Linked DNA regions of Lytechinus pictus. The protein of the gene in region 1 purifies or fractionates together with the protein of each later gene. This does not show direct contact. Links are inferred from orthologs where the notes say so. Each region holds a gene or a part of one and is shown in the gene's direction. Other genes may lie near its edges.

Region 1 (7,483 bases):
TAAACTATTTAGTGGAAACTGAGATTTAAATAGTAGAACGGTCGTTATTCAATAATTTGTTTCACTTTCAAAGTTTCAGAAATGAAATGTGTGTTTGCCAGTAAAAGTGAGTCTAGAATAGATACTAGCATTTTAACTGAGTTAGATATGTTACTTGTTATTGTTAGATCTAATGACTAACATACATGTAGATAGTTAAAAATGGTTTGTTTTTCCGTTTTACTGTTTTGTCATATTTCATTTTTTTCTGAATGTACCGGTAAGCCTAACTTATTTATTTGCTTTGACTAAACAGAAAATTGAATTAAAATTCTTTCTTTTTTCTTTTTGCTGGTTTTTTTTTTTGCTTTCACAAAACAGACAATCGAAGCATCTTCTTGTTTCCTTTGTCTATTTTGAAATCAGAGAAAGGAATTATCTGATCGTAACGCTGCCATATCATGGTACGATTATTAGATAATTAGTTTTGCATTGACAAAACAGAATAATGAAACCGTGTGCCTGTATGCCAACATTGCTTAGGGCAGCTATGAATTATCACTGCCGACAAAAAAGCAGAAATAAGAAGAGAAAATGGAGAACATGAAGAAGAAAAAAAAAAGAAGAAAGAAGAAAAAGAAGAAGAATGATGAAGAAGAAGAACATGAATGTGAGCTGAAAAATGAGAAGGAACAATAAGGAAAGGGAGGTATTGACAAGTAAACAAAGAGGTCCCTACATGTATGCCTATACTAATGAGCAAATAGGCCAGATTCATCCAAATTCTTTCGAGGCTGATTCCCAGCAAAATCTTGTGAATCATTAGATTTTCTTTCTCTAAAAATTTACCTACTTTATCCTCAAGTCAAATTAAATAACTTTGCACAATTGGACAGAATAAATCTGTTTCTCTTTCATACCATTGGTCATTTATTTTGTATAAAATATTTTGATAAATATTAAAGTGAATGTCAGGCCTGAAAATTGTGCATCAAAACTGAATTTTTCTTCCTCTGTTTTCTTTTGCAAAGTGTGAAAACTTTCTATTTTGAGCCTTGAAGATATCTATATCACCTATAGCTGAATTTCTGTACTTTCTCGGAATGTCACTCTTAATATGCGGCACCTTTTAATCGGGTCAAGATCATACTTTTCCCACCAAAGTACAAGAAGAGATTTCTAAAATTTTGGAGTAGCATGAAATCTAGTGTTCTGATTGGCTGGATAAGGCTTCAAAACAAAAAACGCGAGTGATTTGATTTGATTACCACATGGGAAGTGTGACCTTGCCGTGAACCCAGCACTGGAACTGTTGAGTGTGTGGTCTCTTTGACCAATCAGAGTGCAGTATTCTTGTTTTCAAGCTGCTTAAATGAACTTTGCCAATGAAAAGTGTGATCTTGACCCGATTAAACCTATTCTTGTTTTGAAACCTATACCATTTAAAAGCATAGATATTCAGCTTTATCATGATCTAGAAATCATTTGGGCTTAAACAAAAATAAAGTGTAAATATAAATTTTGTCAGGCGAAAATAATGATTTTAGCATATTTTAGATCAAAAGTTTCACCTACATTACAAAATCTTTGAATAAATTCAAACACATGACTCAAAAGAATGATTCTTCTTCTTTGCAATGATCCCAAAATCATAAACTTTAATGTATATTTAGAGCAGCAATTACCAAATTAAAAGAGGTGTTTTGGTCCGCATCAAGCTCATTAAATATGCAAAACCTCTGTAGTCCTGAATATCACTTGGATGAAAGAAGCCACTTTTGGGGACCTGCCTACTGACTGGAGTGCACTACCTCTTGCACAACAAGGACGGTTGGGGGCGGGGTTGATCAGCAATATACACTCACTGCATCTCTCTATCAGCTAACAGTCAAACATTGTGAGTTCTGAGCGGGAGTAGAATTTTTGATAGCCCCCCCCCCCCCACACACACACACACAACTGAACCGTCCTTGTGCCAGAGGTAGAACCCTCTTTTTTATTTGTCAACTGATTTGATTGCTTGTCGACCCTCCCCCTTTCCTTATTGTTCCTTTTCATTTTTCTGCTCACATTTGTGTTCTTCTCTTTCTTCTCTTTAGTTCTTCTTTTTCTACTTTGTTCTTCTTTTTCTTCTTCCTTCTGCTTCTTTGTTTTCTTTGTTCTTTTTCTTTGTTCTTCTTCTTTTTCCTCTTCTTCCTGTTCTTCCTTTTCTCTTATTTCTGCTTTTTGGTCAGCTGTGATTATCCGTGTAGCTGCCCTATGCAATGTCAGCGCACGCGCATTTGGTTTCATTATCATGTTTTGTCAAAGCAAATTAATTATCTGATTGTACGACGACAGCAGTATGATCAAATAATTTTTTTCTTCTGATTTCGAAACAGAAAAAGGAAACAAGAAGATGAGATCAGTTCTCTGTTCATGAAAAATAAAACGAAAAGACAGAAAAAGTAAACAAGAATTTCAATGCTTCTATTTTGTCAAAGGAAAAACTAAAATTTAAAATATGAAAAACAGATCAATGGACAAATTTTAACATTCTTACATTCCTGAAAGGAAATTATTGATTAACAACCGTTTTTGTCTCACCTGCATAGCAGAGTGAGACTATAGGCGCCGCTTTTCCGACGGCGCCGTCAGCACCAAATCTTAACCGAAGGTTAAGTTTTTGAAATGACAGCATAACTTAGAAAGTATATGGACCTAGTTCATTAAACTTGGCCATAAGGTTAATCAAGTATTACTGAACACCCTGCCTGAGTTTCAGGTAACATGATCAAGGTCAAAGGTCATTTAGGGTCAATGAACTTTGACCATGTTGGGGGAGTCAACATCGAAATCTTAACCTAAGGTTAAGTTTTTGAAATGTCATCATAACTTAGAAAATATATAGACCTAGTTCATGAAACTTAGACATAAGGTTAATCAAGTATTACTGAACATCCTGCCAGAGTTTCAAGTCACATGACCAAGGTCAAAGGTCATTTAGGGTCAATGAACTTTGGCTAAGTTGGGGGAATTTGTTGAATTACCATCATAACTTTAAAAGTTTATGGATCTGATTCATGAAACTTGGACATAAGAGTAAACAAGTATCACTGAACTTCCTGTGTGAGTTTTAGGGCACATGATCAAGGTCAAAGGTCATTTAAGGTCAATGAACTTTGGCCAATTTGGGGGTATTCGTTGAATTACCATCATAACTCTGTAAGTGTATTGGTCTATTTCATAAAATTTGGACATTAGAGGAATCAAGTATCACTGAACATCTCATGCAAGTTTCAGGTCACATGACCAAAGGCAAAGGTCATTTAAGGTCATTGAACTTTGGCCATTTGGATGTAATTATTAGATTGCTGTCATAACTTTCAAAGTTTATAGATATAGTTTAAATAAAATGTGGATATAGGGGTAATTAAGTATTACTGACAAGTCTTAGGTAGCATGATCATGGTCAAATATCATTTATTGACAATGAACGTAGTATTGTATCATATGAATGGTGTTTTTTGTGAATAATTATTTTATATTAGTTTTCAAAGTCAGCACTGCTGCTGTATTGAATCGCGTGATGCAGGTGAGACTGCCAGAGGCGCTCCACTTGTTCTTTTTTAAATCTAAAAAATAGCATAAGTTTTCACTCAAAATTTTGTTTTTGATTTTACCATTTCGAAATCATCAAAACAAATTATCAAACGGCACCTTGATTCCCTAGGCTAGGGCCTAGGTCTGGTGCAAAGCCAATCTGGACGAGTGTCTTCCATGTTGGAGATTATCTCCAATTATATCAGAGACTGATAATTTTGATTTTGGTATCCAATTTCAGAGACAGTCTCCAAGTTTTGGAGACCAATTAATTTCCTTTGTATACATTTGCTGCTAAACTAAAGTGCAGTGCTATGCTTTTGCTAGTGCTAAACTTATTTTAGTCTTTAGAACGTAGACTAGAATCAAGACTGGAAAATCGGCTGTTCTGGTTTTTTTGTGTGTTCTAACATTTTCTCATTATTCGCAGTCCTCCTTCTGGCAAGAGTCCCATAAGACCATATGCACCCCTAGCCTCTAGAAATCTATGATGATATTTTATCATAAGATTCTCTGTCTTCGTCATGTCATCATGGAGCCTTGACACGGGGTCTACAGTATGGACCTGTGTGTCGAATGTGGTAAACAATGATGAATTTCCCTAGAAAATCCACATTAACCACATTCATTTTGGAATTTGGATTAAAAAATGGGGGATTAATCCTGTTTTTTCACCTTTATAGTACTCCTAAGGCATATACAGGATTAAAGAATTAGTTATAAAAATGAGTAAATGAGTAACAGGTTTCGTAGCAGACCAATCACTTGGTTGCAATCATGGACTTTACCCCAAAAAGAATTTTTTTTAAACAGAAAACTTAGTCTATGTATCACATGCATTGCAAGTCGATGTTATTATTTTTATTATAATATTGTATGGTTCGTTCTTTTGGCTGCAGGATCTTACTGGGATTGAGGATATGGTGAGATGTCGCAACATTTTGGATCAGCATGACTGGAATATTGAGGTGAGATCTCTGCTTGTCAAAGAAATACTTCATGGCCCCTTAAACACAAAAGTGTAGCGATTGATTAGGAGCTTTGATATTTTTATGATTGATTGTACATTGTGGTCAATGCAGTCAATTGTATTGTAAGCTTTTATTTTATTCTATGATCAATCGTTAAGCTTTGTGTTACTGGCACTGGTCGAATGTCCACTTGTTGGAATCGGCCATTTGTACAGTTAAATCTGTGTCTACATGTATAGCAGCCACCTGCCTGTAGTGACCACTAGATCTGGTTCTTGTGGAGGCAGATTATGTGTATAAAAAACCTGTCAATTATGGTTGCAAAGGACTTGGAAACTTTCCGGAAATTTTTGGAAAGTTTGGGGAATTTTCAGCTGCCGGGAATATGGGAATTTTCTGGAATTTTCATTTTTTCACAAAAACTTATCAATGGTGTTTTTAAAAATAAATACAAACTTATAAATTGATATCTTAAAATATCATACTTTTAATTTTTATAAAACAGTTCTTTATTCTTTGACTTGCCTAGGGTATTCATCAAAGTGTATACATGTATTATACATAAATGTACATTACTGTGAGTGTAACATGATGGGGCATGATGTGCAAAATGAAGCTTTATCAATTCAACATGAAAAAATAAAACATCGCATTACACTATTTTCCATTTTACTGCAAATGTCAAGGCTTGGACTTGTCAGAACCAAGCTTCCATTTACCAGTTTATAATAGCCTGTTAATATATAACATTGTTAATATACAATGTTAATGTAACAATGTGTTTTGAAAAATTCCTGAAAATTGCCGAAAATTCCCCAAATTCCCACAAAAATCCTGTTTATTCCCATGGAAAGTATCTACCATGAAAATTCCCAGGAATTTTGCAACCCTACTGTCAATATCAGCCATGTGTCTATAAAGCCATGTTTATGTTTCCCTTTGATGGTCCCTACAGTCACTACAGGTTTCGATGTATATAGGCAGGTCAGATGTCCATGTGGATGTCCAAAATAGAATATCGCTGTCCATGTGGGCTGTTCAGATGTCCCTGTACCTAGGTTATAAATGGCAATGCGTTTTGAATTGGGCTGGTAAATAGGTGGAGTTGTGACATCTGCGGGACAATTTTGGGGTATATTCCTTTAATTTTCTCTGCTGATACAAGATGTGATGTTGTATTTGGTGTCAAAATAAAGCTTGTTATGAGAGCAATATAGTCATACAAAAAAAGATTTTATAAGTAATGTTGTTTCCATTCGTAATTAGGGATTAATTAGCAACATGTGCGGGGGGGGGGGGGGGGGAGGATGATCAGGAGAAGCACACTAATGGACTACACCTACCAATCATAATACTATATTGTTAACTTCCATTGATAATTCATAATAATGATCGATAGTTTAGATAAGTTGTAACTAATTAATGGTTTTAAAATGTAATCAAGCTTTATCATTAATTTTTACTAATCAATCTTAATAATAAAGAGCAATATACCTGGCTGTATGATCGCGCATGCAGAGTGTCCTTTCCTAATAAGCAATGTGCATTACATGTCAGTTATACATACATGTACTGTAGTAACTTGCAGGAAGATATTCATACATTCAGAAAGGACTCATGTAATCAAATAACAAACAATACTAACAAATAACAATAACTATTGTGATTTCAGCATTAAGGCAATGGTTGAGAGTTGCAGTACGGCCCGGGGGGGGGGGGGGCACTTCCATTGACGAGTGGATACCATGCGCGACCACGGGGTCTTGAAAAGCACCCTAAACACGTATTTTCCATATTCTGAAAATGCACCCCTTAACAAGTATTGGCGTGTGAAACCCTACCCTTAACAAGTATTGGAAACAAATACTATTGGCAAGTATTCCCAAAATTGAGCTCCTAAACAAGTACAGCGATGTATTTTCCACTATTCTGAAAATGCACCCCTTAACAAGTATTGGAAACAAAACGATACTCTTGGCAAGTATTCCCTGAAATGAACCCCTAAACAAGTACAGCGATATTTTATTGTTATGTCACGGGTCCGTTGGTCGTCGGTTGTACCTTTACACACCATTATTTTGGTTTAGTACGACCCCACCTTCCACATCTCGCGCAAATCGGACTCTAAACACGTAGTGTTGGGGCAAAAAGGACATCCTTTATAAAACATTTTGATTTTGTAAATGTAAATAAAGGAAATTGGTCTCCAAAACTTGGAGACTGTCTCTGAAATTGGATACCAAAATCAAAATTATCAGTCTCTGATAAACACGTATATTTTTCCGAGCGAAATAGATACCCTTTTTTCAATATTTTTGTGTTTTTGACACCCTTATCACGTTACATACGTAACGTGCCCTATCTTGAAAAAGACATCCTTTTTACGTGTTTTTTTGGTCGCGCATGGTATCCACTCGTCAATGTAAGTGGCCCCCCCGGGCAGTATGGCAAGTTTGAAGAGAGAAATGACAAAGCAGATCTTACATGTAGGTCTTTCAATTGTGCTTGAAACTACATATAGGGCTTCTATATATAGGGCTTCTAATATGGCTTCTATTAATTAGTTCATTAAAGACTTTATTCAGCAGTGAGATGCTCATAACATGTAAGTCCCCAACAGATCCCTCTTTTCTTGTCTTAGCTTTGGAATTACCAAGAAATATGTGGTGTGACTATTTTTTATGGAAATGCAATACAGTATTTGAACTAGTTTGGTGCCAGTTGATGCATTTTTTTTTCTCTGTATGTTACTATGTTTTAAATTTATCGGCGACGAATTGTATCTCTAAGTACATGTAGATATCTACATTTGCCTAAATAGATTCTATTTTACAATCATAAATCAAATATACACATAAAACCAATTTATAACTATATTATTCAAAATTTGTTTATATTATAAGTTTGAAACCCCAAATTGGCAATTATAGCTTATTAGCCAAAATTTATTA
Region 2 (7,237 bases), on another chromosome or scaffold:
CATGAAGATCAACCAAATTGATCTTTATTAATTATTTAATCGATCTAGGGGTGAACTTTGGTGGACAGAAAAGGAGAACGGGGTCTAAGATGCCCCGAAACATTGGGCGTGCATCGACATACGTTATAATCCGATTAGTTAACTTCGTATGGGCTCGTAATAAATTCGCCAAAAATCAAAATCAGCCCATATCTCTTGTGACTCCATAATTTATGATATATCTTTATCCATTCATTTGGCGATTTAAGGTTGAAAAATAATGCACCAAAAAGGGAGACGGTGTGTAGGAAGCCCGTAAACTGAAGGCAGTGTATATTGACATATCCGATTAGTTTAATTTCTGTAGGCCTGGAATCGTATTCAATTCGCCAAAAATCGAAATAAACTTTATATCTCTTTTAAACTCAACAAACTTGAACTTTATTAATCTCTGCATCTTATATAGGGGTGAACAGTGATTTATAGAAAAGAGGGATGGGTTTAAAGGTCAAGTCCACCTCAATAAAATGTTGATTTGAATCAAAAGAGAAAAATCAGACAAGCATAATGCTGAAAATTTTCATCTAAACCGGATGTAAAATGAGAAAGTTATGACATTTTAAATTTTCGCTTATTTTATACAAAATAGTACAAATTAGTCACATGCTAATGAGAGAATCGATGATGTCCCTCACTCACTATTTCTTTTGTTTTTTGTTTTTGTTTGAATTATGCAATATTTCAATTTTTACAGATTTGACAATAATAAGGACCAACTCGACTGAAACATATAATGTTAAACAGTGGTAATTCCACATGTTCAGTGAGAAATGAAACTTTGTTTCACAGGACAATGAGGAGAAAATTAGATTATTTCATATTTCTTATAATTAAATACAAAAGAAAAAGTGAGTGATGTCATCAGTTCTCTCAATTGCACACCGACCGGGATGTGCATATAACTATTATGTGAAAATAAGCAAAACTTTAAAATTTCATAGCTTTCTTCTTTTACATCCGATTTTGATCAAAATTTCAGTGTTATATGTTCAATAGGATTTTCCTGTTTTCAAATCAACTTTTTATTGGGGTGGACTAATTGTCCTTTAAGATACCCCGAAAGTGAGGTCAAATAAGTGGGGCGTACTTTGCTTCGCCGGATTTTATTTTCAAGTTTTTAGACACATTCAACTCTTTTTTAAGATGCTTTATTCTTGGCGATAAAACTGGTGATTTGCAGTTTATATTTCAACATTGCTTCAAGTGGCCATGTGGCAGATCCAGGATTTTGTCACATCTTCCTGAAAATTCAACAGCGAAAAAACAGGTCCTTACCATTTAAACATTATATACTCTGTCTTTTAAGGTGAGTGCACAAGTTTTCATTATACTTCTCAAAAATGGAACCGGCCGGATGTTCTCGATCCCCCTTTTAAGATCCATCAGTGATATCAACAAACATGGAGACACAGACAATATTTACGTAATCATGAATAATTGTATAGACTTACATGTAGAAATGCACACAAAATACAACGTTCGGATTAATTCGAATTATATTCAGGTTTTTGTAAAAAAAAATACTTAAATAAGATGTAAAATCAACCAAGAAAACTTAATATGTTTGAATATATATGATTGGAAGAGTTATGGCAAGATAAAAGATGCAGGATGCATGATGAAGTAAAATATAATCTATTTTAGACATTTGAGAGAGAGAAGGAAAGCGAGGAACAAAAGATAAAAAGGGGAGAGAGGGAAGAGATAGAGAATGAGGATAGAAGATATCCACTATCATATAGCATTTATTTCCAAGCGAGACATATGAAATTGGTATAACATGAATGAAAATAACTGTACATGTATATTATATAAAAGTACGGTAAAGATAGATAGATGAACGGTATTTACCATGATAACGTTCAATTCGCAGCCAATTAAAGCTGAATAAGATAGATTTGCACATGCGGAGTAAAATGGCAGTATAAAAACAAATAGTAAAACAATATCAACAAAAACAACGTATATCAATGCATAATATAAGGAAAGGGATGCAAAGATAAATGCATACAAAGGAAGAAAGAATTAAGGGAATTAGAGATCAAGCACTGACTGTGAAGAATTACATTTTATACGGAAAGTTTCCTTCGTTTCACTCCTAATTATTTGTTATTTCGTGTTAAGAAAGGTACCATTTCATACAATCCGCTCTTAACATAGTGAAAAATAACACGGATATGTTATTCTTTCAGTATTGCCCAAAATCATATATAATCATGTTAAAAATATTACTTGTGTTAAAATGCTTTAACTTGAGGCTACTCATATTCCAACAATTCCACTTTGGTTAAATTCGCCGCTAATCGAAATCACCTTTTTATGTCTTGAAAATCAACCAAATTGATCTTAATTAATCATTTCATCGATTTAAGGGGAACAGTGGTGCATAGAAAAGGGGGACGGGGTCTACGATGGCCCGAAAGGTGGGGGTGCATTAATATTGACGAAAATACGGCGCCTGCTATTATGGCGTGCTATATGTCCGTGTATATTCCAACAATTCCACTTTGGTCTGGTAATAAATTCGCCGCTAATCGAAATCACCATTTTATGTCTTAAAAATCACCCAAATTGATCTTTATTAATCACTTCATCGATTTAGGGGTGAACATTGGTGCACAGAAAAGAGAGACGGGGTCTACGATTCCCCGAAAGGTAGGGGGTGCATGGACGAAAATATAGCGCGTGCTATGTATTATATCCGTGTATCCCAACAATTCCACTTTAGTCTGGTAATAAATTCGCCGCTAATCGAAATCACCTTTTTATGTCTTGATAATCAACCAAATTGATTTTTATTAATCACATCATCGATCTAGGGGTGAACATTGGTGCACAGAAAAGGGGGACGGTGTCTACGATGCCCCGAAAGGAGGGGGTGCATTGACGAAAATACGGCGTCTGCTATTATGGCGTGCTATATTATGTACGTGTATTCCAACAATTCCACTTTGGTCTGGTAATAAATTCGCCGCTAATCAAAATCACCTTTTTATGTCTTGATTTGACGAAGTACGCCCTCTAGCGTTATTAGTATACATCTCTATGGCTGGCTTGCTTCAATCAACGAATTGTTAATTAACTAGGGCCCATTTCTCAACACATGGACAAGTTAGTCATATCTTTATCCACCAACCACGGAGTTAGTTCCAATCTTACTAAACATGTTTCTCGAAAGGTTTCCTAACTAGAATACCTTGATATCGATACTATCGGTAGAACGAGCAGACGAGACGTAGCCTTAGTCACAAAATAGCATAATATTAAAAAAGAAAAATTATTACAAAATTGCAAATATTGTGATAAATTGGGAAATAAATCTTTTCAAAATAATAGCACAGGTGAATTATGCATCATACATACTTAGACCATGAAGACTTGAGCATTCAATTGCAGAGAAAATTAAATTATGAATAATTCATTTCATGACTAAAAAATCACTTGTGGACGTTGAGATTGGGTACCCCCGGGATATCCAATTTTAATAGTTTACGAAAGTAAACCATAACGGTTTTCTTTGTAAAATGATGATAATTATGCGGTCTTTTACGATTCCGAACGTCATCAAAATATAGTTTAACGAAACATTTTTAACCATTGATACCGAAACATACGATATTTGACAAATTATATGCATAAATTAGAGATTAGAATTTATCCAACTGTTAATAGGGGTCTGAAAACAACAAATACGAGTTCAGTTATGGATGGCCTGACGTGGTAGAATATTTATCGATTAAATCATTTTACTATTTCAAAATGAATGGTTTTGTGGCGTTTTACCAATAGTTTTTATAGTTTCTTTGTATTACAATTATCATTGAATGCATTAACCCACTTGTTTTGTGATGTAATTTCAACCTCTATGATTGATTACGTAAGATTATAATTTTAAAATTTATATGCGCTTTTGCATGTCATAGTCTACCCACGTGATGCCACTACGTCATTAAGAAAGAAGTTATGACAGGTTCGGAGGTGTCATAAATATTTAGTGAGGTTGTTGTACCCGATCTTGGTAAAGAGGGCTTCGTGAAACGGTTAGCGGACAAGTAGCTCACTATCTCCGATTTAGTCAAGAAGTTAGACTTATGACGGTGTTGAGAAACGGGCCCCAGTGTCTGTACTGTAGCTGTGCGCAGCTGGGTTTGTGCGCTGGCGCTGGCTTCAGCTAGCCTGGCATGCGTGAAACACGGATCTTGAAGTTCGGATTGTAAATCAACCCAGGAATCCAACTGAGATTTTTTAGCTTGTCTAAATCGATTTAAAGATGTCACAGCCATACAGTTCATCAGGGTTTTGTGAGTGTAAATCTTCTTCTTGAAATATTTATATTTTGAATGTTCACGACTATTTCCCGCAAAATAAGCGCAATTATGTCACCGTTGCTTTTCATGAAAATGAAAAATCACAGTCCCATACATTGAATACCTTGTATTATGATTTATGTTAGACCAAAAGCTTCGGTCTCTGTTATTGTTAATATGTTGGTTGTTCAGCTGAACTCCGTTGGCTTCACTCACCAAATACAGAGACCGAAGTTCTAGCGCGATCTGTACAGGGGACTCAATGGCCATATGTTTATGTACTTAAGATTGGATAAAACGGGGAAGTGAATTTACGCGACAGCTGAGGTAAGTCTGTTTTTGTTCCTTTTAACTTGATTTTTCTCAGTTTTTTGGCAATTAATGCCAAGAGGGAATATTAATTTGCATTTTGGTCGCGTTAATTTTCAAAAACTTTATTCATATTTAAAGACAAGAATTGAAGAGCCCAGACGGGGGGATTTTGCATTGCAAGTCCCCTAATGGTGGCTGCACGCTAGCTAACCTAGCCAGGCGGCTTCTAGAGAGTAAAAATCATTTACTAACGTAAGGTCACTCTCATGAAGCCAGGGCTTCCGTCATATACTTTTGTGTGTACCACCAAAAAACCTGAAACTTTCGCCCCCGAGATTTCTACTTTCTTTCTAAAAGATCTAGCCCTAAATCATGTACATGGGATAAAACTTCATTTCCGACATTTCTACGCTCTCGTTTTTATTTTTGAACAAGAATTCATCAAAAAAATGAGAGAAATATTGTGTAAAGACGGAAGAGACTTGCCCAATGTTTACGCCGCCATCTTGTTTCCTATTGTTCTTCGCCAACGTTACAGACGCGTGACACAATATTTCTCTCATTTTTTTGATGAATTCTTGTTCAAAAATAACAACGAGAGCGTAGAAATGTCGGAAATGAAGTTTTATCCCATGTACATGATTTAGGGCTAGATCTTTTAGAAATAAAAGTAGAAATCTCGGGGGCGAAAGTTTCAGGTTTTTTGGTGGTACACACAAAAGTATATGACGGAAGCCCTGGCTTCATGAGAGTGACCTTACGTTAGTAAATGATTTTTACTCTCTAGAAGCCGCCTGGCTAAGCTAACCCAGAGAGCTCCCGCCCGCGCAGCGGGCGGGAGCCCAGAAGCTTACCGTGTATTTTACCATTGTCACCGGACTAGGGTGATTTACGGTCTAAATATTTCTCCAAATGAATTGTGAAAACAGAAAGTATACAATTACCACGATTATATGGATGAAGGTCTAACGAGTGGCAGATTCCTGACATCTGGGCACAGTCTGGAACCTAAAAAAAACGAAAAGTTCTCTCCTTCTACCCCGTCTCGATCGGCCATTTTTGTTAAAAATCGTAACAAAATGGCCGAGTTTTTTGGTGGTACACACAAAAGTATATGACGGAAGCCCTGGCTTCATGAGAGTGACCTTACGTTAGTAAATGATTTTTACTCTCTAGAAGCCGCCTGGCTAAGCTAACCCAGAGAGCCGGTAAGCTTCTAAGCTTCTGAGCCGGTAAGCTTCTGAGCCGGTAAGCTTCTAGGCCGGTAAGCTTCTGGGCTCCCGCCCGCTGCGCGGGCGGGAGCTCTCTGGGTTACACGCTAGCGAGCCGTCTGTGTATGAGGAGAAATAAAAAAAATAAAAAAATGTTAAAAAACTCCTCGAAACAGACGGCTGCCAGCTGTCTAGATTTATGTAGGCCCTAGTCATGCTAGTACGGTAAATTCCTCACACCCACTCTAGACTAGGCACCATGCCTATCAATTCCTGTGTTAAAATAGTGAGTGCACGCGAATCAGAAGTTGGACTTAAATTACTAGATATTACCATGGAGCTCTATGACGAAATCTATTTTTAAATTAGACCCTAGATACTACTTATGGAAAATAATGTATAAATAGTACTCGCCTGGTCTTTTCTTCACTCTAAGCACCAAGGCTATTAATTCCTGTGTTAAAAAAATGAGTGCACGCGAATTAAATGTTGGACTTAAATTACTAGATCTTACCATGGAGCTCCATGACGAAATCTATTCTTAAATTAGACTCTAGATATTACTAAATTGAAAAAAATGTATAAATAGTACTCGCCTGGTCTTTTCTTGGGGTATTGAAGCCTTTTTGTCCAGAACTTGCTCAACTTTTGCGGCAAATTTTGTCGCCATAGGGTTGTGCACATTCTGGTTTAATACTGGTTGTCACGTGACACGGCAATGTCGTTAGGCTGTTTGGCCTGTATTCAAGGCGTTCTATCCGTTATGATTTTATATTGAATGAAGCAATTTCCATCAGGTATAGGCCCCTATCAAGTCAAAATAAATTAAGAGGCTTTTATAGGAGGAAATTATAATTTGTTAACAAATTTTCGGCATTACTCCTATTTCAAGGCTCCACATTAACTTTTTTTGGTGGTGGCCCGTTCGGGCCACCAAAACCATCAAATAATTTTTTTTGGTGGCCCGATATTAAAGTTTGGTGGCCCGAAAAATATAAAGAAAAACATTAAAAATGAATAAAACAAACTTCTGAAATATTAATTCTGCAGCCACTACCACTAAGTTACTTTCACTTTATACATCTTGTATGTAAACCTTGCTTGCTGTTATTTTACTTTGCTAGTTGATAATTGTTTCTATCGTTGTAAAAATGAAATGATTGAAAGTGAATAAATGAATTGTATTGTTCGCAGGTTGTGTGGACTTTTTTTAAATCTCTGTGTAGAGATAATGGTAAAGTAAATAAATAGTGCATAGCAAACTCAGATAGCTGTACAAAACAATGGTTTTTCCTTTCTTCCTCTTTGAATCCTAAAACCTAGATTATGCATGCCCCAAATCCAGTTTATTTCTGTTTTCTCTTTTGC

What was found. The genes of interacting proteins can lie anywhere in the genome.
Region 2: the proteins of FAS-associated factor 2-like (region 1) and ubiquitin-associated domain-containing protein 2-like purify together in Homo sapiens (affinity purification with western blotting; 7 studies listed by BioGRID and IntAct, with this or other methods). This does not show direct contact. The link is inferred for Lytechinus pictus from reciprocal best matches to the Homo sapiens genes FAF2 and UBAC2.

The regions. Positions count from the first base shown.
Region 1 is NC_087245.1:41,343,647-41,351,129, reverse strand, and holds the start of FAS-associated factor 2-like, read left to right. Parts: upstream 1-4,458; 5' UTR 4,459-4,481; coding exon 4,482-4,529; intron 4,530-7,483. UniProt on the Homo sapiens protein: Plays an important role in endoplasmic reticulum-associated degradation (ERAD) that mediates ubiquitin-dependent degradation of misfolded endoplasmic reticulum proteins.
Region 2 is NC_087260.1:29,144,924-29,152,160, forward strand, and holds the start of ubiquitin-associated domain-containing protein 2-like, read left to right. Parts: upstream 1-4,220; 5' UTR 4,221-4,309; coding exon 4,310-4,346; intron 4,347-7,237. UniProt on the Homo sapiens protein: Restricts trafficking of FAF2 from the endoplasmic reticulum to lipid droplets.